Sus scrofa: one gene and its partners. The protein of the gene in region 7 interacts with the protein of the main gene of each other region in a pairwise test. Links are inferred from orthologs where the notes say so. Each region holds a gene or a part of one and is shown on either strand. Other genes may lie near its edges.

The links.
Region 1: the proteins of LZTS2 (region 7) and NCK2 interact in binary tests that used the Homo sapiens proteins (3 or more experiments, as listed by UniProt). The two-hybrid records come from large-scale screens. The link is inferred for Sus scrofa from reciprocal best matches to the Homo sapiens genes LZTS2 and NCK2.
Region 2: the proteins of LZTS2 (region 7) and USP2 interact in binary tests that used the Homo sapiens proteins (3 or more experiments, as listed by UniProt). The two-hybrid records come from large-scale screens. The link is inferred for Sus scrofa from reciprocal best matches to the Homo sapiens genes LZTS2 and USP2.
Region 3: the proteins of LZTS2 (region 7) and THAP7 interact in binary tests that used the Homo sapiens proteins (3 or more experiments, as listed by UniProt). The two-hybrid records come from large-scale screens. The link is inferred for Sus scrofa from reciprocal best matches to the Homo sapiens genes LZTS2 and THAP7.
Region 4: the proteins of LZTS2 (region 7) and GPANK1 interact in binary tests that used the Homo sapiens proteins (3 or more experiments, as listed by UniProt). The two-hybrid records come from large-scale screens. The link is inferred for Sus scrofa from reciprocal best matches to the Homo sapiens genes LZTS2 and GPANK1.
Region 5: the proteins of LZTS2 (region 7) and FKBP6 interact in binary tests that used the Homo sapiens proteins (3 or more experiments, as listed by UniProt). The two-hybrid records come from large-scale screens. The link is inferred for Sus scrofa from reciprocal best matches to the Homo sapiens genes LZTS2 and FKBP6.
Region 6: the proteins of LZTS2 (region 7) and TEAD4 interact in binary tests that used the Homo sapiens proteins (3 or more experiments, as listed by UniProt). The two-hybrid records come from large-scale screens. The link is inferred for Sus scrofa from reciprocal best matches to the Homo sapiens genes LZTS2 and TEAD4.

What each region holds. Positions count from the first base shown.
Region 1 is NC_010445.4:49,106,229-49,110,650, forward strand, and holds the start of NCK2 (cytoplasmic protein NCK2), read right to left. Parts: upstream 2,953-4,422; coding exon 2,727-2,952; intron 1-2,726. UniProt on the Homo sapiens protein: Adapter protein which associates with tyrosine-phosphorylated growth factor receptors or their cellular substrates. Maintains low levels of EIF2S1 phosphorylation by promoting its dephosphorylation by PP1.
Region 2 is NC_010451.4:46,587,530-46,591,979, reverse strand, and holds the start of USP2 (ubiquitin carboxyl-terminal hydrolase 2), read left to right. Parts: upstream 1-1,625; 5' UTR 1,626-1,755; exon of another isoform or gene 1,756-1,759; intron 1,760-3,766; exon of another isoform or gene 3,767-3,886; intron 3,887-4,450. UniProt on the Homo sapiens protein: Hydrolase that deubiquitinates polyubiquitinated target proteins such as MDM2, MDM4 and CCND1. Isoform 1 and isoform 4 possess both ubiquitin-specific peptidase and isopeptidase activities.
Region 3 is NC_010456.5:50,590,856-50,594,961, reverse strand, and holds THAP7 (THAP domain-containing protein 7), read left to right. Parts: upstream 1-1,183; 5' UTR 1,184-1,188; coding exon 1,189-1,401; intron 1,402-1,573; coding exon 1,574-1,653; intron 1,654-1,974; coding exon 1,975-2,130; intron 2,131-2,550; coding exon 2,551-2,691; intron 2,692-2,865; coding exon 2,866-3,430; 3' UTR 3,431-3,550; downstream 3,551-4,106. Other genes in the region: tubulin alpha-3 chain, read left to right, coding at 471-767. UniProt on the Homo sapiens protein: Chromatin-associated, histone tail-binding protein that represses transcription via recruitment of HDAC3 and nuclear hormone receptor corepressors.
Region 4 is NC_010449.5:23,777,436-23,781,748, reverse strand, and holds the start of GPANK1 (G patch domain and ankyrin repeat-containing protein 1), read left to right. Parts: upstream 1-1,402; 5' UTR 1,403-1,928; exon of another isoform or gene 1,929-2,341; intron 2,342-2,418; exon of another isoform or gene 2,419-2,421; 5' UTR 2,422-2,510; coding exon 2,511-3,115; intron 3,116-4,008; coding exon 4,009-4,313.
Region 5 is NC_010445.4:10,668,373-10,672,488, forward strand, and holds the start of FKBP6 (inactive peptidyl-prolyl cis-trans isomerase FKBP6), read left to right. Parts: upstream 1-1,202; 5' UTR 1,203-1,529; coding exon 1,530-1,586; intron 1,587-1,787; coding exon 1,788-1,905; intron 1,906-2,314; coding exon 2,315-2,404; intron 2,405-3,209; coding exon 3,210-3,412; intron 3,413-4,116. UniProt on the Homo sapiens protein: Has an essential role in spermatogenesis. It is required to repress transposable elements and prevent their mobilization, which is essential for the germline integrity.
Region 6 is NC_010447.5:67,164,774-67,169,116, reverse strand, and holds the start of TEAD4 (transcriptional enhancer factor TEF-3), read left to right. Parts: upstream 1-1,537; 5' UTR 1,538-1,562; coding exon 1,563-1,788; intron 1,789-4,343. UniProt on the Homo sapiens protein: Transcription factor which plays a key role in the Hippo signaling pathway, a pathway involved in organ size control and tumor suppression by restricting proliferation and promoting apoptosis.
Region 7 is NC_010456.5:112,081,137-112,084,788, forward strand, and holds part of LZTS2 (leucine zipper putative tumor suppressor 2), read left to right. Parts: intron 1-82; exon of another isoform or gene 83-222; intron 223-370; exon of another isoform or gene 371-1,953; intron 1,954-2,729; 5' UTR 2,730-2,771; coding exon 2,772-3,179; intron 3,180-3,652. UniProt on the Homo sapiens protein: Negative regulator of katanin-mediated microtubule severing and release from the centrosome. Required for central spindle formation and the completion of cytokinesis.

The DNA of each region.
Region 1 (4,422 bases), on a different chromosome or scaffold from region 7:
AAAGCAAACTTGGATTCTATTTAAGGAAGAGCTTTCTAGCAATCTGTGTTCTCCAAAAATGGAATTGGCTGACTCTACACAAGGAGACGTGTTCCAGCAGAGCTGGGTGGCCATCTGTTGGGGCGGGGGTGGGGGGGAGCTGCCTGGCACCCAGCACGCGCATGCACTGGCTGAGCCAGGCCCCCTGAGTTCTAGAGTCCAGGGTATGCAGACACATGGGACTGACCACAGCTCATGAAAACCTGAACCCTAGAGAGAGGGGTGCTTCATCACTCAGCTGTCTTTTTGTTCTAAAAACCAAAGGAAAAAGTGACAAGCTGTTCAAAGGAATCTGGAGATAACGCGAGTGCCTGCTTTGTCTTAGGTTACTTCCTAGCATTCTGCTCAGTTTCTGGGCATTTCCTTCTTCTTTTCTTTTTTTTTCAGCCACGCCTGCGGCATGCAGAAGGTCCCAAGCCAGGAACTGAAAAGGGACTGAAGACATGCCACAGCAGTGACCGGAGCCACTGTAGTGACAATGCAAATCCTTTACCTGCTAGGCCACCAGGGAATTCCCTGAGTATTTCGTTCTTTACTAGAATCCTGAGAATAGATTTTTTTAAAAAACAGTAAGAATATAAGTCAACAATGTTCAGCATCTCCAAAAGCAGGTACTTCAGTGAATGAGAGGCTGAAATTGGAAAAAATAAATAAAATTATGTCAGGGCACTCAAAGTATTTACCTATTCATGCTTCTTTCTTTCTTTCTTTCTTTTTTTTTTTTCCTCGTCTTTTTAGGGCTGAACCTGTGGCATATGGAGGTTCCCAGGCTAGGGGTCGAATCAGAGCTACAGCTGCCAATCACAGCCACAGCCACAGCCACTCAGGATCCAAGCCATATCTGTGACCCACACCACATCTCATGGCAATGCCAGATCTTTAAACCACTGAGCAAGGCCAGGGATTGAACCCATGTCCTCATGGATGCTAGTTGGGTTCATTAACAACTGAGCCACGACGAGAACTCCTGCCTGCCTTTCCTTATAGTTAATGAAGAGTTATAAACACTGGACAACAATATTCTTCTCAAGTGACATGATCATCAAGAAAAAAAAAAAAGGATAAAAAAGATAAAAGGGTGTCAGATTTGTGAAAAATAATCAGCTTACTCATGAAAAACAGAATTTCTCCATCAGGCAGAACCTACAGTAGTCAGTGTGAATCACACACAGGACTATGTCTCATTTCTCCCTTCAAATTGTGGAAATAACCTAACATGTAACATAGAATTACTACCCAATGGATAAAGGCTCTAAATGGTTTCGATGAGAGCAGTGGATGCGTTCAGATTGCAGAAAAATGAAAGGTGGGTAGGTTGCAAGTCTTGTCACATGCAGAGTTTAACATTTTCTTTCTGGTTTTCCTACCTGTTCCCCTCCCGCAAATGAAACAAATTCTGTTAGAAATGAAAAGGTACTCTATCTAGTCACTTGTGATGGAGCATGACGGAGGATAATGTGAGAAAAAGAACATATATATGTATGTGTGACTGGGTCACTTTGCTGTACAGCAGAAAATTGACAGAACACTGTAAATCAGCTATAATGGAAAAAATAAAAATCATTAAAAAAAAAAAACATTATGAGACTACTGCCAAGTAGTCAAGAATAAAGTATCAACTTAAGTCATTTTGTCCCAGTGAACTTAATTGTGATGGACTTCTCCATCTGCCATAGCAAGAACTGCTTTCTTATTATTTAATACTCAATTTATTCAGCCTAAAGACTGGTTAGACATAATTTCTTATTATCAACTTAGATGCAATAACTAATTATTTATTCAATTATTTTTTTTTTAATTAAGGCACCTCTGTTATACCAACAACTGTGCCAAGATTGAGGACATGGCCATTAATAAAAATTAGGGGAAATCACACCAAAAAAACCAAAGAAATGAAAAGGAAAACCTCAAGGAAATGTCACGTGGGTGATAACACTCATGTTTTCAACCTCAAACTCTTCTGTGATAAGCAGTGGTCTCAGGTGGCAGGGCCCACGCTCTCACCCACACTCTGCAGCAGTAACTACTGTGCAGAAGTCTGATACCCACACTGAAGCAATACTGGACACCATCAATATCAGGGGATGCAGGTGGCCTTTCCCACGGCTGGATACCAGGGAGGGGAAACAGGATCGCAGGAAGAAAGCCGGGCAGATAGAGAGCCCCCACGAGTCACCCTGGTCAGCTGGCATCACACCGCCACTCCTGTCCCCACTTAGCTGGCACTGCCCAGGGCTGCAGTGTGAAATGCCACCAATTTAAAAGAGGGGAAAAGTTCACCTGGTTCAAAGCGCTTTTCGCTGTCTGCTTCTCTATGCACAAAAGCCACAGGTGCAGGATTCTGTGAGATGGAAAAGCTCTGGTGGAATGACACAGGTGGAGCTGTGGACATCCCTAGGGGATGGCAATTCCATCCCGGGACCCTCCAGAAAGTGGATGCCAGGAGACAGAAATGAGCAGGGGCCCCGGACACAGAAGGGTCCGCTCACATGGAACTCCAGATTCTAGAATCTCCAAGAAACGACACAGTGGATTTCTCCGCTGGATCTCTCCCCATTTCCAGAATTTCAGAAAAAGACACGAAGAAAGATGTTAATACTTAAAACATCCTTTTTTTTTTTTTTTCCTCTCCTACACCAACTAAAACGATGACCCCTCCTCCCTGCATCCCGAGAAAGGACACTCACCCAGTGTGTCCTTGAGGTTCCTCACGAGGGAGCCCTTCTTGAGGCTGTTCTTCCGCTCCACGTAGTTGGAAGGCACATAGCCCGTCCTGTTGGCCGCGTTCCGCACCCGCCACCATGTCTTGGAGTCGTCCAGCAGCCACAGGCGCTCGTTCTTCTTGATGTCCAGCTCCTGGTCCTGCTGGGCCGTGTAGTCCCACTTGGCTATCACGATGACTTCTTCTGTCATCTTTCATGGAGTCCTTCTGTCAGCAAAACAGGCGAGAGGCTCATTAGAGACCAAGCCAAAAGCTTCATCCTTTGTCCCCACTTGGAAGATGATGCCCTGACAGCTTTTAGTAAAAACTTGGCCACTGAATGTTGCCTGGGTCTCCAAATAACCTTCAGCGACCTTCCTTCAACACATGGGAATACTTGGTTTAGAAACGGCAGCCTCGTGAAACAAATCTTAAGTTTGCACACTAGGAATTCTGCATGCTCTGACAAAAACAAGCGGCAACCAAAAAAAACCTTCCAAGAGTTCTAGACAACCATACGAAAAGGAAACCTGCTTACAGGATGAAGGAACACCAGATCCTTCTGGCTGATCTCTTGATGCCTACTATCTAAGGATATGCTTAATTTTATGGACATATTTAATGGACATGACACACCCAAACTACAATGTGGTATCTTGGATTGCATCCTGAAATATAAACACTGGTAAAATCCAGATAAGTCTAGCCAACAGTGCCACTGACTAATTTTACCCCTGACTGTTTTGACGAAGGTCCCTAAACACCTAAGATGTTAGCACTAAGGAAAACTGAGTCCGGGATACCTGGGAAGGCTATCTTTGTACCTTCTTCCTTAAGTAAAAAAGCATTCCTGGAACCTGAAACACAGACGTTTATTGTAGCTTCACTCGCAATTGCCAAAATTTGGAAGCCATCAAGATGTCCTTTGGTAGATGAATGGAGAAACAAACTGTGGTACATCCAGAAAATGGACTATTATTCAGTGATTGAAAAGAAATGAGCTGTCAAGCCACAAAAAGACATGGAAAAACTTCCAGTGCTTATGGTCAAGTGAGAGAAGCCAATCTGAAAAGGCACAGACTGTATGACTGGCACAAAGACTCTGCTATTAGATCAAATGGTAGTCAGGCTCTTCTGATTTCTCTTCCCAAACGAGTTCGGTACTTGAGTCTGTCTTTGCAGTGCCCACTTTTAGCAAGAATCCTGCTAAGCTAGTTCAGCCAGGTGCCTCCACCCTTGCCCAAGTGGTGTCTGATCATCCCGGGCTGCTTTCAGGAGGGATCCTGTGAGGTCCATGTAGCCAGAACCCCCCTTAGCTCTGCTGGTTCCTCGTAGTGGTTGTGCATGCACCTGCTGCCCAACCTGCTGCCCAGCTATAAAGTCTCACTTCCCCTCCTGTATGTGGAATGGAGCCCAAACTCTCCCCCCCCCAACTGAGAAAACCCCTTATTGTACTCCCCCTAGTAAAGTCTGCTGGACTGGTCTTTAATGAGTGTCATTTTTTCTTTAATAATTCCAATGATGTGACATTCTGGAAATGGCAAAACTACGGAGATGTTACAAAGACCAGTGGTGGCCGGGAAAGGGGAGAAAGCAATGATGAGATGGAGTGCAGGCATTTTTAGAGCAGTGAAACGAAACAACTCCAAAGGATACTATAAGAGTGAGTATGTGTCACGACA
Region 2 (4,450 bases), on a different chromosome or scaffold from region 7:
CAAGAGGAGAAAGCAAAAACCTAAGTTCAAGATTTTCATTTGTTTAAAGGGAAGAACTGGGAGACTTATACATCAAAGGGAAAGTTGGTAGAAAAGGTAAGATTTTTGTTTTGTTTTTTTTTCTTTTTTTGTCTTTGTAGACACTTCAGTTCAATAGAAGTCTTAGCTCCTCCTCAAGGGATATACATAACAATCTGATGTAAATCTTTTTAAGTTCTGCTAGAACTAAGCCCCCCCCCCATGGAGGATGGTAACTATGTAACTACCAGCTGAGACCCTGGTCTGAAACTAAGGAATGATGTTGACCTTTGCTGACCCTCATTGACTTCAGTCAACTAAAGCTTGGATTCTGGCAACCTTTGCCTCAATTCTATTGTGAATTCTCTTTGGCTCAAGGCCCTTCATGAATATGCATGCACCCTTAGCTTTAAACTTCCCCAATTTTGCTGTTCCAGGATACACTGCTTGGGGAAAGACACCGCCGTGCACACGCGCGCGCGCGCACACACACACACACACACACACACCCTGCCCCGGTGTTCTTCTTACTTGCTACAAGTAATAAATTTTACCTTCTTCCAATCTTTGGCTTGGTTGTGTCTTTTGGCTTGAAGCCCACCAAGAGGTGAACCCAGTTTTCAGGTAACACTAAGGAACAATTAAAGAGTTGAAATCCAGAAGGGATTTGTCCTGGACAAGAAGCGGGACACTTCTTTCACTGCTCTTGGAGCAGAGGGAACACTGGATTTGGATATATTTGTAGGAAGAACTTTAAGTGTTTTCCTCCTGATTGCTTCTAGTTTCTCTGGGAAAGAGAAGACAAGAAGGGACTTCAGAGTGATGATGGGCAGAAATACCAGCCTTGCATAAGAACAAGAGAAGCAGCTAAGGGCACGAAAGGATTGATGGTCCAGGTGAAATTGAAAACCTGGACTTGCCCCGGCACCAATCTACATGGCTATGCGGTTTTCTTCACCACCGCAGTGTAAGTAGAGAAAGGTTATACACAAAGAAAAGGAGCGGCAAAAATTCAAATTTCCTTTCGGCTTTTTCTGAAAAGACAAAAGAGAATCCTTCCATTGACTCAGTGCCTCCGTTCACCCAGTCAAGGGGTCATCACTAATCACTGGTCTCCTGTTACTGAGTGGAGAGTCTTAAAGAGTAGAGAAAAAAGAGAAGAGGCAAAAAAACAGGTCCGCTCCTGGTCGGGTGGGAAGGAGAGGAACATTTAGCCTTCCCTAAATACTAAAAGCTGCTATATATGCCCTGGGACTCAACTTCTGACCCTTCCCCCCAAGACGCTTCCTCTTTCCCAGTACCTTACACCTCTCCCGTCGTGCCACATTCTTGCCGCATTGGGACCCTTCTCGTTGTGCTCCACCCCGCCTCCAAACTCACCTTTCCTTCACGTGGCTCTCTGTATATATCGGTCGCCTGGGAGACCCTGGCCGGGCGGAGTCTAATGACGCCACAATAGCAAAAAGCCAATAGCCGTGATGCGTCTCAGTGACGCGAAACGCGGGGTGTGACTTTGACGGCCCCGGCGCAATGAGGCAGCTGCCCGCTGGGTGGCGCCGATTTCCCGGGGAGGTCCTCTCTGGGCCCCCGGCGGAGGTGGGGGAGAGGCGGGCTGGAGCGGAGACCAGGGAGCCCTCTGCGTCAGCTGCTGCTCACTGCGCCGCTCCAGTACCAGTCAGGACTCACCCGCAGCTCCATGCTTGTGCCCGGCTCGACTCGTCCATCCTCGGAGAAGAGGCAGGTACCTGCCACCTGTCGGATACTGGGGAGGGGTGATGCGGAGGGCAGTGTTGTTTGAGGCTCAGAAAGTGAGGTGCCAACGACAGGCTGGGCAGAATGGGCACTAGAAATGTAGGGCGAGTTCCAGCTGCGCTGAAGATCTCCAGCTGTGGGTACCAGTTGTAGGGGGGAGGGGGGGCACCAGCTGACAGCCCAGGGTGCCAGGAAGAGCCATCTGTGCGCTAATCAGTGTGTTCTACGGAAACGCTGCTTGGGCAGGTCCAGGTCTCTGAGCCCTGGGTGGGATGTGGCTGAGAGTGACGCCTGGACACTGACAATCCTTTCCCCACGTGTGCGAGCAGCTCATTTACTCCCTCTGTCAAAGCTCCTGGGGGCTGTCTCTGGTCGGTTTGCCAAAGGGGGTGGGGTGGGGGGAGGGTAGCATTTAAGTGGAAGGGGAGATTTTCCACCAATCCCAAACCAGAAAGAGGCATCTTTGAAATCTTCACCAATCCCAAACCAGAAGCAGGCACGCGGTGCTCTAAGGCTAGTAACTTATATTTAACAGCCAAAGGGAGCCCTGGCCAATCCATTCTAGTTGTCCTCTAAGGAGTGAGCATCTACCTCCTGACCTGGCTGCTCTTCGAATGGGGCCGAGTTGGAGATCCTGCTGCTGCTCGCCTCCCCAGGCACAGGCATGAGAAGGTCCCCCAATGAGAACCCAAGGAAAAGGAGAGCTGGTTGAGCTGGGGTTGGATCAGCCACCCCTTCTCTGATGCTGTAGATAATGTCAAGCCGGGGTCGGAATGAGGACTGGAATGAGGGCCGGGGACAAGGGCGTCCTCTGAAGTGCATCATCAGGACCGGAGCTGAGTCAGTAGCCTCTGCTGAGACAGGGTGGAGGCCCCATCTTGGGTACTCCCAGTCCTCAGGGAGAGCCATCGAGAAACAGGCCAGACAGACTGGGAGCAGACCAGAGCACCAAGAGCCGAGAGGTTAAGAATCCTGCTCCTTCCTCCTGTGACCCTGCCCAGCCAGCCCCACTCCTTGGGCTCCGGGATCCTGAGCACTCCTACAGGTAGAGTGGAACTGCCCCAGAGCAGCTGGGCTTGCTCCCGGGAGCCCCGGGGAAGCTGCACTTGCTGTATTTTTCTAGGCAAAGGAGGAAGGAGCCCAAGAGGGCCCGGCCTTTTGCCGGTGGGTGGACTGGACATCTGGGAATGGGGCAAGCCTCGTTTGCCTTGCCACTTATGGGACACAGACCTGCTCAGAAAACCATGGCATTAGAACAGCACTCCCGCGGGGTAGCCTGGAGGCCCTTTTCTCCCTAGCCAGGTTCCCCCGAGGGTGCTACTACAAAAACTACCTCTAATTATAAGTGGAAGTATTCAATATAGTAATAATTACCATTTATTGAGCTCTTACTAGGTGCCAGGAAATTTACAAATATTATTTAATCCTCACACCTGTGAGGTATAACATTATTATTATTATTATTCCCATTTTACAGACTAAATAAGGTTCAGAGGGCTTAAGGGACTTGCCCACCGACTTAGAGCCAATAAAAGGGAAAGAAAGAATACAAGCCCAGGCTTAGAAGTCCATTATAAATGAGAATGGCCTGGGAACCTGAGGAGGTCTCACCTGCCTTTGTATCCGTGTGCCCTTGAGCACGCTGCTGTCTGCCTCTAGGGCTCTTCCATCTCAAGAGTAAAGCAGGCAGACAAGCACTGAGGCTTCTTCCTCTCCTCCAGTTTTGTGACTGGCACCTCCTTCTCCATATTTTTGCCTCCATTCCACCCCCATCCCTCTACCATCTTTCCAGTTCTATTTCCCCTTGAATCCCCCTTCTGTCCCATTTCAAAATCCCTCCCTTCAAACAGTCTTGTAGGATCTTGCCTGGCACGGGCCCACCTCAAGGGAGGGCCTGCCACTGCCCCTTTAATTCTGCCCAGGCTTGGAATGCCAGTGAGTGGAGCTAGCCATCTCCGTGAGGTCAGATAAGATACTATATATATCGGAGTCAGTAACCTGAGCTCCGGATTACCCGGCCCCAAGTCAGACTCCTGCCTCTGGGCTCGCCACTGCACTCCCTGCCCTGCTGGGGAAGGAGAAGCCCCCAGATCCCATCCCGTGTCCCTGGACACAGGTCAGTAGCTGTCCCTTTGCTATCCAAACTTCACAGGGCTGTTGTCCAGAGGGCCCTGGACTGTCTGTTTGGGGGAGCCCTGTCTGTTTGGGGGAGCATGTGAGAGGCTGCCCCACCTGGCCTGGTAGGTGCTATGAGCAAGACCAAAGGCTCAGAGACCAGGAAGAGGAGAGGAAGCCCTAGAGGAGAGAGGGAGCCTGGGGCTCTCCTGTGGGGTGGGGGCACCCAGAGGGAGGTGGTTGGAAAAGAAGACCTGAGGACTCCAGTATTGCCTGGGGGCCTATATCTTTGCCTTTTCTTGGAAGTGTAGCAATGCCCACCCCCTCCCAACCCCAAATCAAGAAGCGCCCTCTAGAGACGCCACCCTCAGCCCACCCAGCTCTTCTCCAGGCAGGATTCTGGCTCTAATCTCTGGTCTCTTTATCTAACCTCTTTGCCCCCTCCGATCCCTTGGGCAACTACTGGGATTGAGAGAGACTGAGAGGGGCCCCAATCCCCTTGGATGACCCCCTTCCAAGGCATCTGCAACTGGTGGGTCACTGGGTGCCAGCCCCTGAGAGATAG
Region 3 (4,106 bases), about 61 Mb from region 7:
ACCAGTTGTTTGTCCTCCAGCATGGTATCTCCCAGCTTTGGTTGTTACTCTGTAAGTATTTTGAAGTATAAACACTCAGGTAGAATTCAACTTGCTCTGCTTTCTACCAAGTATACAATACACCTTGGACATATTTACAGGCCAGGGCAGGTTCTTCATTCCTTTTCATCATGGTACCGTGTTTTACTGTAGAGATGTGTGATAACTTGTTCCCCAGGAAGGACATGTTTCCAGTTTTGCCATTTCAAACAGTACCCTAAACTAAATACATAAAAATCTCTATACATGTAGCTTTTGCTCTTATGTGGGTAAATCCAAAACGTGACAGTATTGGGTCAAAGAATATTAAATGTTGTCAGATACTGCCAAAAAAGAAAGTACCAATTCCCATGGGGCCTTGTTTTAAAAAACAAGGTACCATTTTTCACGCCACAGTATAAACGTCTCCATCTGTTCCCCTTCTCTGGCAGGTGGGCATCAACTACCAGCCCCCCACGGTGGTCCCAGGGGGAGACCTGGCCAAGGTGCAGCGGGCCGTGTGCATGCTGAGCAACACCACGGCCATCGCCGAGGCCTGGGCCCGCCTGGACCACAAGTTCGACCTCATGTACGCCAAGCGTGCCTTCGTGCACTGGTACGTGGGGGAAGGCATGGAGGAGGGCGAGTTCTCGGAGGCCCGGGAGGACCTGGCGGCTCTGGAGAAAGATTACGAAGAGGTGGGCGTGGACTCGGTGGAAGCGGAGGCCGAGGAGGGGGAGGAGTACTGAGCGGGAGGGCGAGGCGGCCCCCCTTCACCCTGCTCTGTAACGTTCCAGATGTGTTTACCTATTAAAGTTTCTGTATTGAGTGTCGTCTGCTCCTGTGTTGCTCTTCGGCCAAGTTCCCCGACCAGATACTTGCCTTTTCCGAGCGAATTCCTAGGGAAAAATCATGTTTCCTCCCAAAGAGAAAAAATGAGGCACCTCAGTTGCTGTATTACTTCCAGAATAAGAGTATAAGGCCAGTGGGGAAATCGGGGAAAATGTTTTAAGTTTAAACACTCCGGATCCTTCGCGCCCTTCCTCCGGGACCGGAAGCGGTCCGGGTCACAGTCGCGGGACCACAGCGTTCACCCTCCTCGCCCCGTCCTCTGGAGGAGCTGCCCCAGAGCCTCCCTCCCGTCCACAAGGGGCACCTCTCATCAGAGGCATGCGTGCCCGCCCAGCCAGGGCTCCGCATCGCACGACCAGCCCGTTCTTGTCAGAGTCGTTTCGGTCCTGCGCGCGGCGCCCCGCAGGCCGACCACTTCCGGGGCCCGCTCCGCCCCTCAGCGAGCGCCGCGCGCTTCCGGGTCTCTATGGTACCGACTTCCGCCGCGAGCCACATCTCGCGAGACTTCGGCGGCGCAGCAATGGCGAGACCGTAAGTGCCGCTGACGGGAGACGGGAGAGTGGGTTGGGAAGGGCCTCTGACGAGATCGGGCCGGTGTGGACGCGCCAGGACGGGGCCGCCTGGAGCAGGGTGGCGGCTAGGGGCGCGAGGCTTGTCCGGGCCCAGATAGCAGCCCGCAACCGAGTTCCTGCCTCTTCTCCAGATGCCGCGTCACTGCTCCGCCGCCGGCTGCTGCACGCGGGACACGCGAGAGACGCGCAACCGCGGCATCTCCTTCCACAGGTCAGCGCGCGTGCGCGCTGGCGCCGAAAGGGTCACGTGTTCATTAGTCTGTCCTGCCCACCTGAGGAGCCTTCACTGCGCACGCGCTTCGGCGGGTCCGGCGAGGCTTGAGTTAGAGGCTGATGGTGGGCGGAGCTGCGGTGGAGAGGGAACTAGCTGCTGTCAGAGGCACCCTGGTGCAGAGCCAGTCGCTTTACGTTTTGAGGCCTCAGCTTCCTAGTCTGTGTGCCCACAGGGTCCGGGGGCAGCATGAGTCAGGCCGGCCCTTCCCATCCGGTGTGTCGCCGGCGGCCCAGCTCTGACAGGCTTGTTGCCCTACAGGCTTCCCAAGAAGGACAACCCGAGGCGAGGCTTGTGGCTGGCCAACTGCCAGCGGCTGGACCCCAGCGGCCAGGGCTTGTGGGACCCAGCATCCGAGTACATCTACTTCTGCTCCAAACACTTCGAGGAGAACTGCTTTGAACTGGTGGGAATCAGGTGAGCCTCCTGCTGACACCAGGGCAGGCCGCCCTGGTTCTTCCCAGCTCAGAATCTCAATTTCCTCTCCGGACGGAAGCAGTTAGAGACACACACACCCCGGGTATCACTGTGCCAGAGGGTGCTCCTGGAGCCCAGGCACGCCAGCAAAGGCACAAACATAGCCGCTCCTTTCAGGGGGTCAGCCCAGTTCTGGTGGGGCCTTTCCAGTCACCTTAATTCTCAGGAGGCTCTCATGGAGGAGATGGGGTACCTCTTAACTTGGCATCCCCCAAACTAGCTGTTTGCAGTGTGCCTCCCACCTGCCCCAGTGCTAGCCCAGGATCCTGTTCAGGGGCTGGGGGGCTGCAGGCTCCGCACCCTGCAGGTCAGCCTGGGGTGCAGGCCCTCTTCTCTACTTCAGACTGCTTTCCCCTACAGTGGGTACCACAGGCTGAAGGAGGGAGCAGTCCCCACAATATTTGAGTCTTTCTCCAAGTTGCGCCGAACAGCCAAGACCAAGGGGCACAGTTACCCACCCGGCCCCCCTGATGTCAGCCGGCTTCGGCGATGCAGGAAGCGGTAAGCGCTGCGCTGGGGGATGTCCCACTTCACGTCTGAGGGACTGGGCTTTCGGATGGAGCCTTGCTGGACAGGGCTCTGAGCCTATGGTTCAGGGATGGGGGTTAGGTGGGCTGGTGAAATGAGGTCACTGAGCCCTGAGCCTGGCCTGTCCCTTGCTCTGTCTCCCTGTAGCTGCTCTGAGGGCCGAGGGCCCACGACTCCGTTTTCTCCACCTCCACCTGCTGATGTCACCTGCTTTCCTGTGGAAGAGGCCTCCGCACCTGCTGCTCTGTCTGCTTCCCCTACTGGGAGGCTGGAGCCTGGCCTCAGCAGCCCGTTCTCAGACCTCCTGGGGCCCCTGGGTGCCCAGGCTGATGAAGCAGGCTGCAGCACCCAGCCCTCCCCCGAGCGGGAGCCCGAGCGGCAGCCGTCCCCTCTGGAGCCTCGGCCTGTGTCACCCTCAGCCTACATGTTGCGCCTCCCTCCTCCTGCTGGAGCCTACATCCAGAATGAGCACAGCTACCAGGTGGGCAGTGCCCTGCTCTGGAAGCGGCGGGCTGAGGCTGCCCTTGATGCCCTGGACAAGGCCCAGCGCCAACTGCAGGCCTGCAAGCGGCGGGAGCAACGGCTGAGGCTACGGCTGACCAAGCTGCAGCAGGAGCGGGCACGGGAGAAGCGGGCACAGGCAGATGCCCGCCAGACTCTGAAGGAGCATGTGCACGACTTTGCCATGCAGCTAAGCAGCAGCATGGCCTGAGTGAGGAGCTGCCCATCAGGGTTCCTGCCTCTTCCTCCTTCAGGATCTGCCTAGAGAGGGACCTGACTTGAGCTGTGTCTGACCTGCCAGATGCCATAATAAAGCGGTTTCTAGGAGTTCCCATTGTGCCTCAGTAGGTTAAGAACGTGACTAATATCTGTGAGGATGTGGGTTTGATTCCTGGTCTTACTCAGTGGGTTAAGGATCCAGTGTTGCCACAAGCTGCACTGAAGATAGCAGATGCAGCTCGGATCTAGTGGTGCCATGGCTATGGCATAGGCCCCAGCTACAGCTCCAATCCCTGGGAACTTCCATTTGACACAGTATGTCCCTTAAAAAAAAAAAAAAGTGGATTCTAGAAAGAAGCCCTGTTCTCTGCCTCTGCTGGGGGTGGGGCCCCCTCCCTCCCCTGAGGTCTGCTTCCCCCCAGACTGGCTGTAGCCTGGAGGGCTCAGACCCTGGAGGCCAAGCTCTTGGCTGTGGAGAGCAGAGCCCAGTTCTTGGCAACCCCTCCCCAAGCAGCTCCTTGTTCTACAACATTCTCTGAGGGACAGGGTGGTGTGCATAGAGGTCGGGGGCAATGCTGGGCAACCTTCACTTGACACTAAGCCTTGATTTACCCAGCTGGCCTTTTTGGAAACAGTCATAAAATCCAGGCCAGATTTACTTCGTTTTC
Region 4 (4,313 bases), on a different chromosome or scaffold from region 7:
TCTTCCCACACTTTGCCCTCCAACCACAGAAGAATTTAGGGCCACCCTTTCTTAAAGGATCCTAGACTGGAGCAGTTCTCTCCAGCTCCTCCTATTCACACCTCAACCCCTTTTTTCAGAGACAGGAAATTCTCTGGGGTCCCAACACTTGTGTGTAACCGGCAGGTCTTGACCCATTAGTCCTATCCACATCCCTAACGCTCCCCAAGGCCAGGCCCCTCTCTCCTCTATGTCAACTCCAGCAGGGCCTGCGGCTCAGATTCCCTACCCCCGCAAGTCTCCGTTTGTCCCCGGCCCCATTCCCAAGGTTTCCGAAGTTTCTTTCCAGGCAAGAGCTAAGCTCCTCTTTTTCTCAAAGTCTGGGGATGGCAGTTAGGTCCCTTTCACGGGAGTCTCCTTATCCCGCCTCCATCCTTCAGACCACCCCCTCCTTCCTTCGGTCCCGGACCTGGTCACTTCCTTCCCCACCCCCACATCAAGGCACGGAGACCCCTTGTGCCGCGCCCAGGAACAGGGGACGCGGCGCGGCAACGACCTCAGACTCACCGGCTGGACGGGGACTGGGACCGGGGGGGCGGGGAGGGGAGGGGAGTTTCTGCTTCCAAGGAACCGCGGCGACGGCTACAACGCAGGCCGCGGATCCAACCGCGGCAGGCGAAGTGGGGCGGGGGGAGTGGAAACTGGGGAGGGTGGGGAAGAGGGCAACGCGCAAGCGCTTAAAATCGTGCGCCGCGGTGAACGCCGGGAGATGGAGTCCTCGGAAGCTAGAAACTGGCGCAACTGAGAAAGGGCGAACTACGAATCCCAGGACGACCCGCCCACGACCCTGGTGTCGCGAGGCCCCTGAGGGAAACGCTCCGGGGCGGGGCGTAGGGAGCCGCCACCGGAAGCGGAAACGCAGTACCGTGTTCTGGGCCAGGGAGCCTGGGAAATATAGTCGAGTGATCTTATCACCGTGGGGCTGAGAGGGGGCGGGGAAAGGAACAAGACAGGCTGGATCATTTACTGCCGCTCCCTCTCACACAACGAGCCTCAGGCGTGCGGCCCTGCTACCCAGACCATTGACCTCATCACCGACCAGCTGCCTGGCCCTTATCGCTTGTGGAGCCCCCCTGTCCGAGTCAGCCTGCCAAGGAGACCCTCAACGGGGCCCATATTTCACTCAAGGGTTTGATCTCCTGAGGTGGGAGGTGAGGCCGGGTTCCGCGCTGAGGGACCTGGGTAGGGTGTGCTGGCTGAGCTGAGAGGTGTGAGAATCGGGAAGGTCCCGTGCGCTAACCTGAGGTGGCGCCAGCCATTCTGTTGCTCGTCCCCTTGCACTTCTCCATTTCCTTTTAAGGCTTGAACAGGGCCTTCTGCTGCGGGTGCTAAGTGCGACCTTCCAACCCTGGTCAGATTAATGGTGAGGGGCTGCGTGACTATTTCATTTCACGGCTTCTGGGCATTCTCCGCCTCAGGGCCTTTCTTAACCCAGAGGGTGGTTTCCCAGGTCCAGAAAATGAGCTTGGAGCGGGGGCCACGTTGAGGGAGGCGAAGAGCATTGTGGGGGCGTTAGGTAAAAGCAGGACCCCAACCGACAGATATTTCTCGATCCTCGCGCTACCAGGGCACGTGGCGTTTTGCGCTTGTGTTATTGGAAAGATTCCAGGGCGGGAAATAGCCCGGAGCAGCGCGCCTGCGTGCTCCAGTATTGTTTTTGTTTGTCCCCCGCCCGCTCCCCATTCAGCTGCGCATGCGGCTTTGACTGTGGACGCCTTTGCTTAGAGTAGCGCCATTTTGCAGTACGGAAGCTGCAAAGCAACGAGTGGAACCTCCCCGCGAATCGGCTTCCTGCTTCCGGACAAATGTCAAGTCTGTTTTTGTTTAAGAATACCCCGAAATAGGATCCAGGAAGATTTAAAGAGCCAGGCTGATTGTTTTCCTTAATGGTATGTCCCGCGCAGTTGTAAAGTAGTTTCAGAGAAAGGCTGTTATTATTGATGGTGAGGATGGAGTGGGGGCAGAGCACAGGACTTCTGGGCAACTGTCTTACAGAGTCTACTTTGTTAACCTTTACTAAGGGGCATGGTCTGTTACCATAGGGTTTCCTATTTTTACACAATCCGTGGTCCTCGGGGTTCACTTTCCGCGTAGGAGGGTTTTTGTTTGTTTTTGTCTTTAGGGCTGCACCGGTGGCATATGGAGGCTCCCAGGCTAGAAATGGAATTGGAGCTACAGCTGCTGGCCTACACCACAGCCACAGCAACGCAGGATCCAGCCGTGTCTGCAACCTACACCACAGCTCACAGCAACGCCGGATCCTTAACCCACTGATCTGAGGCCAGGGATCGAATCTAATCAGGTTTGTTAACCACTGAGCCACGAAGGGAACTCCCGGGAGGGGATTTTTGATTCTAAGGATACTTGTTTTTATCCCAGCAGGTGTCTGTAGGTGATTCTGGTCATTGCAGGACCATCTGGGACTTGGCTTCCCCCTGCCTAATCTCATTTTCCCAACTCTCCCCAAAGCCATGTCCGGGTCCTCCCTCATTAACTTTACCCCAGCCACTGACCCCAGTGATCTCTGGAAAGATGGGCAACTGCAGTCACACCCTGAAGAGCTGGAGCCCACCCTGGATGGGGCTGCAGCCCGGGCTTTCTATGAAGCTTTGATTGGGGACGAGGACAGCACCCCTGAGCCCCAGAGATCTCAGCCTGAGCCTGCTAGAAAGAGGAAGAAAAGACGAACGATGAGGGAGACTACAGCAGGAGCATCAGGAGAAGATGGACAAAGGAGATCCCTTGAGGCAGAGGACAAGATGACCCAGCAGATACTGAGGGCAGCCCAGGAGGGGGACCTGGCAAAACTGAAAAAGCTGTTGGATCCCCATGAGGCAGGGGGAGCTGGAGGGAATATCAACGCTCGAGATGCTTTCTGGTGGACCCCACTGATGTGTGCTGCCCGAGCAGGCCAGGGGGCAGCTGTGCGCTATCTCCTGGGCCGTGGGGCGGCCTGGGTGGGGGTCTGCGAGCTGGGTGGCAGGGATGCTGCTCAGCTGGCGGAAGAAGCAGGCTTCCCTGAAGTGGCCCGCATGGTCAGAGAGAGCCCCGGAGAGACAAGGAGTCCAGAGAACCGGTAAGGGGAAGCCTTATCTTTCATTGTGTTCTGCCCTTCCTCACACTTCACACAGGAGGCCACAGAATAGAGCCAAAGGGTTTACTTTCCTGTTCCCTAATGTAGGCTGATCGGGCAGTGTGATTATGAACAGGATACTCCCTTGGATTATTTTTTATATAAAACATTTTTTTCATTAAAAAAAAAATTGGGGTAGTTCCCATTGCGGCTCAGTGGTAACAAACCCAACTAGTATCCATGAGGACGAGGGTTCAGTCCCTGACCTCAGTGGGTTAAGATCTTGGCATTGTCGTGTGGTGTAGATCTCACATGAGGCTCGGATCTCACATGGCTGTGGTTGTAGCATAGGCCAGCAGCTACAGCTCTGATTTGGCCCCTAGTCTGGGGACTTCCACATGCCGCAGGTGTGGCCCTAAAAAAGACAAAAAAAATTTTAAGTTTTTTAATTGAAGTATAGTTCACGTATATTTGCTATATTCCCACATTGCATGGGCTCCTTGGGTTTAAATCCTGACTGTACTTACGTGGGCAAGCAACCTAACCCATGTGCCTCAGTTTCCTCATCTAAGAAATGGAGCAATAAAAGCACCTTTCTCTTAGGGTTGTTAGGGTCAAATAGGTTAATATATGTAAAGTGCTAGAAAAGCACCTGTCCCATACTAAGCACTATACCAACACTAGCTATGGTCACTATTGTTATTTTTCATCACCCAAGAACTTTGTGAAGCCTTTTTAACATCTGTTGGCTCAACTATTCCCTTTTGGGTCTCTTATCATGAAGTGGGGAGGAAGGCAATTTGTTCCTCAGCAGAAATACAGGAAGGACCTAACCCTGCCACCCTCCTGAGGCCTCAATCCTTGTGTTGCCCTTAACCATTCTTTTTTCTTTGCAGGCCCCGATCCCTCTCCCCCCAGTACTGTGAGACCTGTGATGCCCACTTCCAAGACTCTAACCACCGTACATCCACCGCTCACCTGCTCTCACTGTCCCGGGATCTCCAGCCCCCCAACCTGCCCCTTGGGGTGCCTACCTCCAGCCCAGGCTTTAAGCTTCTCCTAAGGGGGGGTTGGGAGCCTGGAAAGGGACTGGGACCCCAAGGTCAAGGCCGTGCCAACCCCATCCCCACTGTCCTCAAAAGGGACCAGGAAGGATTAGGCTATAGATCAGCAGCCCAACCCCGAGTTACACATTTCTCAG
Region 5 (4,116 bases), on a different chromosome or scaffold from region 7:
CTGTCCCATATTAAAACTGTAGACAAGGACGCACAAGACAAAGACACACAAAACAGAAACCAACAGATCCAGACACACGCGACCCGTCCGCGTCTTCCACAAGCAGGCAAAAGAGTCGGACGGCCGCGGAGGGGGAAGCTTTCGCTTCAACAACAGAACTCGGTCCTCTGACCGACAGAAGGAGACCACCAGGCGTCCCTGGCTCTCCCCACCTCCCGGGGCGTCCCCCAGGGTGGCAGCCTGTGATCCTCCTAGCACGTCTGCTGATCACAGTCCCCCAGTCCTTACGGTCTGAGAGGACAGCTGCAAACCGAAAGCGCGCATCACCGAAAACAGACACTCAGAACAGAGACGCCAGCCGACACACACACTCACACGTTCCAAAGGGGATCCCTTTACCTCCAAGTCGGTTCTCGGGTGTGAGGGGTAGTCGCGGGTTTCCCGGCCAACGCACCAAACTGAAAGGCCAGTCGAGTTAAAATCCCTCTCGTCCTGACTCGGAAGAGGCGACACCCCAAATCACTCACGAGAAGCGGTCTTGATGCAAACAGCAAGAGGATTTTTATTCCGAGCGCGCTGGGGCCCACAGTCGTACGCCACGCAGGGGTAGAGGACTGCGGCCCCGAGTGTGGAGTCGGGACAGCTTTTATGGGGTTCACAACAAAGCCCGCGCTTTTACAAACTAATCATTTTTAAAATATCGCAAACCAGTCAATTCAAAACTTCGAGAGCCCGCGCTTTGTGGACCAATTAATTTTAAGTTGTTCTGGAGTTACATGTTTGTGCCTGTCTCTGGGTGGGGGAGACATATTGTCACCAAGATATATTTATCAGGATTTTCAACATTTTGTGGCACGCCCGATCTTACTGGGGTCCGTTAGGCAATTGACTTCTCCTCTTTTTATCTTATGCAAGCAGGTTTACAGAAGCCAAACAAGCAGTTAGGAGCAGTTTCAAGAAGTTTCAAGCATAGAGGCACATACTCAGGGGCCTGTTTTTCCCCTTCCACAAAGTTTTGTACAGAGCAGAAAGCAAGCCCTAAAACAGCAAAAAGTATGATCTTTTACCTATAGGGAACAGGGTCTGGAATTCGAGGGCATTTAGAGCTTCTTATTAACTTCCTGGGTTCTGGGAGAGTCAGGTTGCATTTTCATCCTTTCATCTGCACGTGCGTTTCCCCCACAGCAAAGCAGAACGAGGGACGGTGGAAATAACCCAGGGCTGCCAGGCCCGACGCTTCCAGCAGCCCGCCGTTTCTGAGGCCTTGTCCTCACCATCCTGCTTCACCCGGCCCGTGCCCAAAGCTTGGCCACCCCCTGCCCCATTGCTGGTCCTTATTCCTCGCGCCTTTGCCACGAGCCCCGTCAGGCCCTGCTTGTCCTCATCAGACGCCTGATGAGGCTCCACGTGCCCTCAATCTGCGCCCGCTCAAGCTGCGTGCGCCCCGTCACGTGCCCGGTCACGTGCCTTGCCACTCTCCCGCGCGTGCGCGCTCCCTGAGGGCGGTTGGCGGCGTTTGGAGCGGAGCCATGAGCGGCTCTTCGCGGTCCCTGAAAGGAACACCGCGGTCGGGTGCGGACGGTCAGGTATAAAGGGGCGCCGAGCCGCCGCGGAGGGGGGGGGTGCCGCGCAGAGATGGGGGCAGCGCCCGGAACCCGGGAGCCTTGCAAAGGGACGTCGCCCCCAGCCAGGTGAGGGCCCGGGCGCTGGAGAGGCAGGGGCCTTGGCCGCCGGAGTCGGGGCGCCAGCCCCGGGCTCTGAGACTCTGTGTTTCATTCCCCCACCAGTCTCTGTACCAGCGGTTAAGTCAGAGGATGCTGGACATCTCCGGGGACCGGGGCGTGTTGAAGGATGTCATCCGAGAGGGGACTGGAGAGCTGGTGACACCCGACGCTTCGGTGCTCGGTAACGGACCGCAGACCCGCCTGCCGTCCACCCTCGGGAAGCTGGCAGTGCCCAAGTGTTGGCGGGTGTTGGGCACCAGGCTTGGCTCTGCACTTTGATTTTGGAGGCCACGTTTAAAACATGAGTTTTGTTATAATTGGCGTCTTAAGGGATAAGGAGGGAACCCCTTACCCCTTTGTAATGGGACTACGGAGAACAAGGGATCCCACCAGCCCAGCTCTCGAACCTCAGAGCCTGTGGGCAGGCCTCCAAACGTTGAGCGAAGATTTTTCCAATCACTCCTGGTGAGGGGCAGTTTAAGGGCAGCTGGTACTTCCATTATTTTTGTGGGACAATTAAGGAAATTTGATAGGGCGGTGAGGGTGTCTTTGGTCCGTTTACCTCCCACTATCTCTTTCTTCTGTCCCAGTGAAATATTCTGGATATCTGGAGCACATGGACAAGCCTTTTGATTCTAACTGCTTTAGGAAAACTCCTCGGCTCATGAAACTTGGGGAGGGTAAGTTCAGAAACAGAGCTGGAAAAGAAGTGATCATTTGGGGAATTGCCCTAATGAGGGCAACACCCTAAGACCACAGAATGATCTGGAGCGCTGATTCTTTGAGTTGGTTTTCTGAGGCTGGGCTTTGCTAAACCAGCCCTGTTGTCTTCCATGCTTCCCTCCTTGAGACATAGGTGTTTGGGAGATGGCCTTGCTGGCAGAGTTATCTTTGCAGCCTGACTTAAATATTGGGTGCTACACTTTTCTTTGCTAGTTGATTAAGTCAACACCTATTGAATGCCTGCTACCTCCAAAGCACAGGGAAAAGAGAGGAGGTACTGAGGATTAGAAGGTCTGGGGCCAGTGTGGGGGAGGGAGATTAACATATTCCAGACAGCTAAACTGGTGGAGTTTCTAGGAAGTGTAAGCCATATTTTGTGGCAGTGCTCAATTGAAGGTAGAGTTAATTCCAGCTGGGAGGTTCAGGGAAGGCTTCATGGAAGAGGGGGCATTTGACATGATCCCTAACGTTTGAATAGCAATCCCCCCAAGGTAGAAGCTGGGCATGGGTGGGGGCGGGGGCAACACTGGAGGAAGAAGGAACTTCATGGACGAAGGCTGCTGCAGAGCCTAGAGGAGTTAAGGTCTGGGACGGAGGTGGTGGTGGTAGGGAAACAAGGCTGAGAAGCGTGTTGGGACCACAGTGTAGAAAGGCTGGAGATACCATGCAGAGAGATGTGGACCTGGAAGGGGGAAGAAAGTCATTGGCATTGGAACAAGATACTGGGTCGGCTTCCACCATGCTTCTGGTCCCTTCTTCCAGACATCACACTTTGGGGCATGGAGCTGGGCCTTCTGAGCATGCGGAGAGGAGAGCTGGCAAGGTTCCTGTTCAAACCGACCTACGCCTACGGAACACTGGGCTGTCCTCCCCTGATCCCCCCAAACACCACCGTCCTATTTGAGATTGAGCTGCTTGACTTCCTGGACTCTGCTGAGTCGGACAAGTTTTGTGCCCTCTCGGTGGTGAGTCCTGGGGCACAGATGTCAGCACTTAAGAGAGAATGGGATGGGTTTGTATTTCGGTAATTATCCTTATCTGCTAATGATCCTCAGCCCCAGGTTCCACTGAGGCCCTGGGGGGTGGGGGCGGGGAGTTCCCCACTTGTTAGTATTTGTCTGTCTTAGTTCTGGCTTCATGTGTAGGCATGTGTGCTAGGCTGAGAGTCTGCTAGGGACTAGCAGCTTGAGCTGGTCTCTTAGTCACTGTTTGTCTAGCTCTCCCTGCAAGACAGTGAACATTTGTTTCTCAACAGTGGTTTCCAGCAAATCAAGCATTGATAGATCCTGACTAGGGTGACCATATAATTTATTATAGCAGGACATCAGGTGTAAACTGGGACAATCCCAGGCAAACTGGGACAGATGGGTTCTGTCCCCATAACTTAAAAAAAATTGCCTTTGCTTTGTAGTCTTTCACTTAATTCATCCCTTAGAGTTTAGAGCTAGGTCTTCTAATCACCAGCAGTCAGGTCCTGTCCTTGTCATGCTGTTCGCCCTGACTGTCCATGTGGCCTTTGATATCCAGCTCAGGTTTACATATGTATATGATGTCTCCCCAGCTAAACTGTCACCACCTCAGGCGAGGGATCTTGCCTTTTCCTCATTTTCCTGCAAAACAGAGGTTCTTGAAGATAACCTGTATCCCACCTCTTCCGTATTGATTTAGA
Region 6 (4,343 bases), on a different chromosome or scaffold from region 7:
AACCTTATGGTTACTTGTCAGATTCGTTTCTGCTGCGTCACAACAGGAACTCCTTGCATGCTTCTTCTAAACACATAAAACACACAACGTTTATCGTCTTGAACCATTTTTTTTTTTTTTTTTTTTTGTCTTTTTGCTATTTCTTTGGGCCGCTCTCGCGGCATATGGAGGTTCCCAGGCTAGGGGTCGAATCAGAGCTGTAGCCACTGGCCTATGCCAGGGCCACATAAACGAGGGATCCGAGCTGCGTCTGCAACCTACACCACAGCTCACAGCAACGCCAGATCGTTAACCCACTGAGCAAGGGCAGGGACCGAACCCGCAACCTCATGGTTCCTAGTCGGATTCGTTAACCACTGCACCACGAACCATTTTTAAGTGTGCAGTTCAGTAATGTTAAGAGCATATTCAGAGTTCCCGTCATGGCACAGTGGAAATGAATCCGACTAGGAACCATGAGGTTGCAGGTTCGATCCCTGGCCTCGCTCAGTGGGTTAAGGATCCGGCGTGGCTGTGGCTGTGGCGTAGGCTGGCAGCAACAGCTCCGATTTGACCTAGGCTGGGAACCTCCATATGCCATGGGTGAGGCCAGACAAAAGACAAAATAAAGCATATTCATGGAGTTCCTGTTGTGGCTCAGTGGGTTAAGAGTCCAACTAGTGTCGATGAGGATGTGGGTTCGATCCCTGGCTTCTTTCAGCAGGTTAAGGATCTGATGTTGCCACAAGCTACAGTATAGGTCACAGACATGGCTAGGATCTGGCATTGCTGTATCTGTGGTGTAGGCCTGCAGCTGTAGCTCTGATTCAGTCCCTAGCCTGGGAACTTCCATATGCTGCAGGGTGGCCCTAAAAAACAAACAAAAAGATTTTTTTTTCATTTTTAAGGCTGAATAACACTCCACTATACGTAGAGACCACATTTTATTTAGCCATTCATTTGTCCATGGACACTTGGGTTCTTCTGTCCCTTGGCTGTGGTGAATAATGTTGCTTTGAACATGAGTGTCTTTGAGACCCTACTTCCAGTTCTTTTGGGTATATACTCAGAAGTGGAATTGTTAGGTGCTATGGTCATTCTCTTTGATTTTTTGGTTGGCCCTCCATGCTGTTTTCCTAGCGGTCACACCATTTTACATTCCCACCAACAGAGCACAGTATTTTGTATGCTCTTGGCCCTTTTTGGTCTAATGTAGAACATCCATGGTACTTGGCCCTCATCTAACTTCTCAGCCCCATCTGGGTTCCTAGAGCCACAATCAGACAGTGCCTGGTTGCTGAGCTCCTTTGATGGGGTGGGGAGCTGAGGTCTGTGGAGGGGAGATGACCTGCCCTTGACCAGCCCCTCCCCACCCCGCCCTGCCCCGCCCACCTCACTCTTTGCCCCATGGGATTCCCTGGCTTTCCCCTTGAGCTCCTGGGCCATGAGCACCAGGAAAGGAGAAGCACCTGGTTCAGGGGTGGTGCTCCCTGGGTTCCCCCACCCCCTTGTCCACACGTTCATCCACCAATGCTGTGCTTTCTGCCCACCCAGGTCCAACGGGCGCTCCTCCAAGCGGAGCCTTGGAGGGCAAGGCCGGCACCATTACCTCCAACGAGTGGAGCTCTCCCAACTCCCCCGAGGGGAGCAACGTCTCTGGGGGCAGCCAGGCTTTGGACAAGCCCATTGACAATGACGCAGAGGGCGTGTGGAGCCCCGACATCGAGCAGAGCTTCCAGGAGGCCCTGGCCATCTACCCGCCCTGCGGTCGGCGCAAGATCATCCTATCGGATGAGGGCAAGATGTACGGTAAGGAGGCTGTCAGTGTTGGGCAGCAGGCCCGCCAGCTCATGGTCCAGCCCCAGGAACAGCCTGGGCACAGCAACCCGGTTCCCTCCAAGTGATGGAAAGAGGTGACCTCTTGGGGCTTGTCCTGGCAGACGCTGCTTTACTCTGTCCTAGGCTCCCAAGGGCTGGGAGGCATCAGGGGAGACACCTTTGGGTGGCTGTGAGGATGGAACTTGGGAAAGCCTAGAACATCCCCCCGGGGCAGGCTGGGAAAATCCCTTTAGCCACCCCCCAGGCAGATGCCTGATCTCCCAGCTTCCCACTGTGGCTGTGAAGGCCTTTAGGAAGGCGGTCCTGGTTCACTCCCTCATTCATACCTGGGCCTTTGGTGTGCCAGGCAGGGGCGGGGCAGATCTAGTCCCTTCTCATGGTACGTGGGGGTGGGCATACAGGTAACTGTACACAAGGCGTTGAGAGTGTCCCGGGGTTGGGGGGGGGTGAGGACCACCCCCCTGCAGGAGTGTGCCCCTTAGCTGAGAGCCATCAGGGAAGGCGTGGTCTGGGGCTCCACACGCCCTCTGCGTCATTGTCAATGCAGGACACAGAGGCACTTTGTCCCGCAGACCCTGGGAAGGAACGAGCCGTCTGCCTGGGCTGTGTTGACTTTGGGATGGAAGAGAGGGTATCTGGGAAGCAAAATGAACACGGAACAACTTTTAGAGGCTCCGTTCAGGCTTCCATTGCCATTGGAAAGTTCCCTGGGACCCCCAGCCTGAAACACTGGGACTGGGTAGGAGCTGTGGGGATCTCTGACTGGCTGAAGCCCCTGTCCACAGAGGGTCTTGCCCTGCTTCCCATGAGATGGCTCTGGGCCAGTGCCCACCCCCACGTGGGTGCCCCTCCCCCAGCACAGATGCCTCATCAGCTGACTGATCTCAGCTCCTAGGGCTGCTGTAAAAAACCACCTCGAATTTCAGGGCTGCCTTAAGATGACAGACATGTATCCTCTCCCGAGTCAGAAGGTTGAAGGTCTGAACTCAGGGTGCTGGGGGTTGGCTCCCCTTGGAAGCTCTGCCGGAGGATCTGATCTGTGCCCCCTCCCAGCTTCTGGGGGCAGCTGGAGGCCCTTGGTGTCCTTGGCTTGTAGCTGTAGCACTTTGGTCTCAGACTCTGTTGTCACATGGCCGTCCTGTCTGTCTGTCTTTGTGTGTCCTCCTCTTCTAAGATACCAGTCGTTGGATATAAGGCCCCCCTTAATCCAGTGTGCCCTCATCTTAGCTAGTTAATTCTGTAAAGACCCTGTTTCCTGGAGTTCCCTGCTGGCCTAGTGGTTAAGGATCCAGTGTTGTCACTGAAGCAGCTTGGGTCACTGCTGTAGTGTGGCTTTGATCCCTGGCCCAGGAACTTCCAGATGCCATGGGCAAGGCCAAAAAAAAAAAGATCATTTCCAGATACGATTACATTCTGAGGTTCTGGATGGATGTGAATGTTGGGGGCGGCGGGCGCTGTTCCACTCTGTTCAATTAACTAAACTCAAATCTGCTTTGTGACTGGTCTAGGGAGCCAGCCCCACCTGCTTGTCTTTAATCTGCACCTGCCCTGCAAGGGCAGGGATTCCTTCTCCTGCTGGAGGAAGCAAGGTCCTTTCGAGCTAGACCCCAGCTCTGCTCCTCGGTTACCTGTTACAGCTGCTCATCCGACTTTACCAGCCCCTCCGCTGAGGCTCTGCGGGGCCCCCACTTCTGCGGGTCTCCACGCCCTGGTTTGGGCTCCCCTGGCACCTTGCTCTAACCACGTCCTGCTCCAGTGGTTGCTTCTTACTTTGGGTCCCCATGGAAGCTTCACGGAAGAGGCAGCCGCTGTGCGCAGAGCAGCTGTGGGTGCCAGGGGTGGGACCTGCTTTAGGTAGGCTCTTCCCGTGGAGCTGGGTGGCCTGGGCTCTTCCACGGCTTGATGGAGAGTGGGGTGCGTGTTGGTCATGAGCTGAGGTGTGACGGTGACGTCGTGGCGGGGGTGTGGCTGGAGAAATCAGGGTCCCTTGATGGGGCAGTGGTCAGTGCCCAGGCGCCTAGCAGGATTGATCTTCCTGCTTTAAAAGGACACATGGCCTGGCAAATACAATTGTGTTCGAGGCGCTCGGTGTGGGGAGAACGCTGAGGGTGCTGCCTGTTGGGGAGGCCCCGGTGGTGGCAGGTCTGGAGAGCCAGCAGACAGTCCTCGCGTGCCACAGTGGGACCCACTGTTTCTTTGTTACCCATTCTTAAGTGTACAGCTCAGTGGCATTAAGTACGTTCACATTGTGGTTGAGCAGCCATCCCCACTGCCCGTCTCTAGAACTTTCTCATTCCCTCCAACTGAAACTCTGTCCCCGCTCAGCACTGGCCCCTAGGTCCCTCTCCCGCAGTCCCTGGTACCCGCCATCCAGTCTACCGCTTTGGCTAGAGCTCCTCCAGGGCCCTCATATACATGGAATCACACAGTATTTGTCCTTTTGTGCTGGCTTTTTCACCTGACATCATGTCCTCAGGGTTCCTCCGTGTCATTTCAGGTGTCAGGATGTCCTTCCTTTTTAAGAC
Region 7 (3,652 bases):
GGGCGGGGTCGCCCCCAGACCCTCCCCAGCGTTGCGCCGCCCACTCGAGCCGGGCGGGGGCCGGGCCAGGCCGGGCCGGGCCGGGCCGGGGGCGCTGCGGAGGCGGGGCCGGGCCGGGCCGGGCCGGGCCGCTCCGAGTGGGGCGCGCGGGCTGAAGCCAGGCGGCGCGCCTGTGGAGCGCTGGGGGCGGCCCGGGGCTGAGCATGGAGCAGCGCGGCGGAGGTGAGGGGGCGCCGGGGCTGGGAGGCGGCCTGGGGGCGCCCCCAACTTCTCCTCGGCGGAGGTCCCGTGGGGAGGCGGCATTCCACAGCTGCCCCCACTTTATGGAAGCGGCGGGGGATGGTGGGGGGTGGACTCCGGGGGATGGGTGGGGGGGCTCCCGGCTTCCTGTCTCTCGGAATGGGAACTCGTGATCCCAGACTTGATCCCGCTGGATGGTCCTTGGAGTTTGGTGAGGGGGAGACTTTCCCCAACTCTTCTGCCCCCAAAACAGGTCCGTGGGATCTCGGACCTTGGCCAGACCTCCCTCGGGCCCCAGCTGGACCCAGCCCTCAGCCGCCCCCAGCCCACTGAGCGGGGGAGCGTGTGCTGTCCGGGTTTTTCAAGGATGTTGCGGAGAGCGAGGGGTTTTCTTCCCACAGCCACAAACGCATTTCTCAAAATGGAGCCTCCACTTGCCCCTCCTTCTCTCTCGGGCTCCAAGAGCGGGAGCCTGGCTGGCTGGGCCTGGCTTTCCAGACGCCTGGCGCTGGCTCGCTGGGTGTCTGGATCTCAGGGCCCAGACTGATGTCTCTTCTGGTTGAGGGGCCCCTGGCTCACTGGATCCGCCTGACCCTGGGGCCGCTTTCAGTCTTTGTCTCCCGTCTTCGGAGTCTCTGTCTCCTCCCCTCAGTTTCCACTTTTTCTGTGCTCACTGAAAAGTAGGAAAACGCAGAGGTGCCAGTCCCCCTAGCCCCCTAAAAAGCCCCTTCCCCGCTGTTGTCTCCATGCTCTGGAGTGGCCTGGGAGAGCGCAGAGGGCGTGTTCCACCGACTTTGCTCAGGGCTGGCACTTGTGGGGTGGACTCAGCCCCTACCCCTGCTCCCTGGACACCAGTCACCCCGACCCCAGTTCCGCTCCTCCTCAGTCGGGACACCTCCCCAGTTCTCTAGGGCTTTTGACTTTAGTGGGGAGGTTGCGGGGCGGGAGGGGGGGGACCTTAATGGAACACAAGCGGGAATGAAGGAGAGCAGATCAAGCAAAGGATAACGTCTCTCCTCTCCCTACACTCCAGCAAGTGACAAAAACCAGGCTCCCACTCACCCATTTGGCCCTGCATGCCACCCAGGCGTGCGCTCTCTCTCTCTCTCTCTCATGCTCCCATGCACACACATTGCTCTGTATGCACACTCTGTACACACTTGTGCACCCTCAGGTACACATACTCATGTATATATGAATGGACATCTCTCCAAACATCTCTCATAGTCACACTCATGTACCACAAATTCACTTATTATGTATGCATTTGTAACTTTCATGTACTTTCTGAGAGAGATACATTATTTTGCAAACATTCTTTTAAGATCTGCACGTATGAGTGCACATAGATACTCACGTGTGCCTGAACGTACCGTTGCATCTGTCCAAACATATATGTGTACTCACACACACTCACTCATGTTTTCACACACAGTGCTCATTTTCATGCTCTCGTGCACAGTTTCACACGCACAAATAAGTAAATGCACACACTCCTACTCCTACGCAATTCTCTGTCCACATCTTGGCCCCTGCTCTGCATGATGACTTCAGCAGATGCCTGAGTCCTGGTGTTCAGCCTCCGGACTAGGGAGGGAGTTCCGGGCGGAGACTTGCTGTCCTCTTCCAGGAAGGAGCAGGGGCTGGGGAGGTGGAGCCCTCTTCCCTGGGCTCCAGGGAAGTGAGAACTTGGAGCAGCTGCCAGAGGTGATGGTAGGGCTTCTCTCTTATCTCCTCAGGGTTACCCGGGGAATGTCTGAAGCCGGAAGGTTTCATAGAGGTTGGCAATGGGCCTGCGTGGGCTTCTGTAGGCCCCACTGATTGGGTGTGGCAAGGCTGGGAGTTGTCATGGAAACAAGCATGAACCTGCATCCACCTCTGGGAGGCAGGAGACCCCAGAGGGCACCTGTGGGCTCCCTAAGAGCTCTGGGTTCTCGTTTGGCCAGCTCCACCCTTCCCGCCTCTCTGTCTGGGAGAAGCTGAGGCCTAGCTGGGGGAGGCTGGGCACTGCCTGGCCTTGGCTTTTTGTACCCTAATTACCGTCTGAGTTGCTGACTGTACCCCTGAGAGGTTGTCCACCTCTAATGAGGCCACCTGCCCCAAGAGACCAGGGGCCTGTGCTAGGAGCTGGTAGAGAGGGCGCCCTCCCTCACTTGAGTCCTGACCTCTGTGGGGGATGCTGTTTGGGGCTGGGGCCTGGGCCTCTGCTACCAAGGGCCCTGTGTAACCACCAGGCCTCCCATCCCCTCCTCATCCCTGCTCCGTCTATTCAGGCCTCAGCTCTGTTCAGACCAGGGCTGGGCAGTGGTCTGGGGCCCAGGGAGAATTGAGGTTCCATCCCTTGATCAGAGGAGTAGCCCTGGGGGGTTTCAGTGCTTGCTTACCGGTGCCAGCGGGCTGTTTGACCTCCGAAGGACCAGGAGGGACTCGGCCTTATTTAGGGAGGAGCTCAAACTGGAGAGACTCTGATACCACTGCCCTGCTCACAGGTTTCCCTGGAGGCCCTTGGCCAGGCCTGAGCCTCTGCCGCCATGGCCATTGTGCAGACGTTGCCGGTGCCACTGGAGCCCGCTCCTGAGGCCGCCACTGCCCCACAAGCTCCAGCCATGGGCAGCGTGAGCAGCCTCATCTCAGGCCGGCCCTGCCCCGGGGGGCCGGCTCCTCCCCGCCACCATGGTCCCCCTGGACCCACCTTCTTCCGCCAGCAGGATGGGCTGCTGAGGGGTGGCTATGAGGCCCAGGAACCACTGTGCCCAGCTGTGCCCCCCAGGAAGGCTGTCCCTGGCACCAACTTTACCTACATCAATGAGGACTTCCGGACAGAGTCACCCCCCAGCCCAAGCAGTGACATTGAAGATGCCCGAGAGCAGCGGGCACGAAATGCCCATCTCCGTGGCCCCCCACCAAAGCTCATCCCTGTCTCTGGAAAGCTGGAGAAGGTGAGGACCAGCCCGTCCTTTGGGGCCTGGGTGGAATCAGGGGTCTCTTGGAAAAGCTGAGGTTTGGAGGCCTATTTAGAGGAAGGAGCGTGGGCTCCAGATTCACCAGATCTGGGTTCTCGTGTCAGCTCTGCCTCATTTTGGTTGTATGACCTCTGGAAAGTCGCTTAACCTTTCTGACCCCCAGTTTTCACATCTGTAAAATGGAGGTAATAAGTCAACTCATAGGATTGTTGCGAGAATTAAATAACATGTGTAAACTGTTTAGCCTACTGCCTGGCACTTAATATGTACTCAATAGCTGCTCAGAAATACTTTATGACACGACAGCTGTTTGTTTGAGCACTGCCCATAATTCTGCTGAGCCTCCATTTCCTCATCTGTAGTATGGGAAGAGTGATAATATTTTGCTTATATATATGGCTGTTGTAATGACTAGAGAGGAACCTTTTAAATTGTGTGAGATAAAGCCC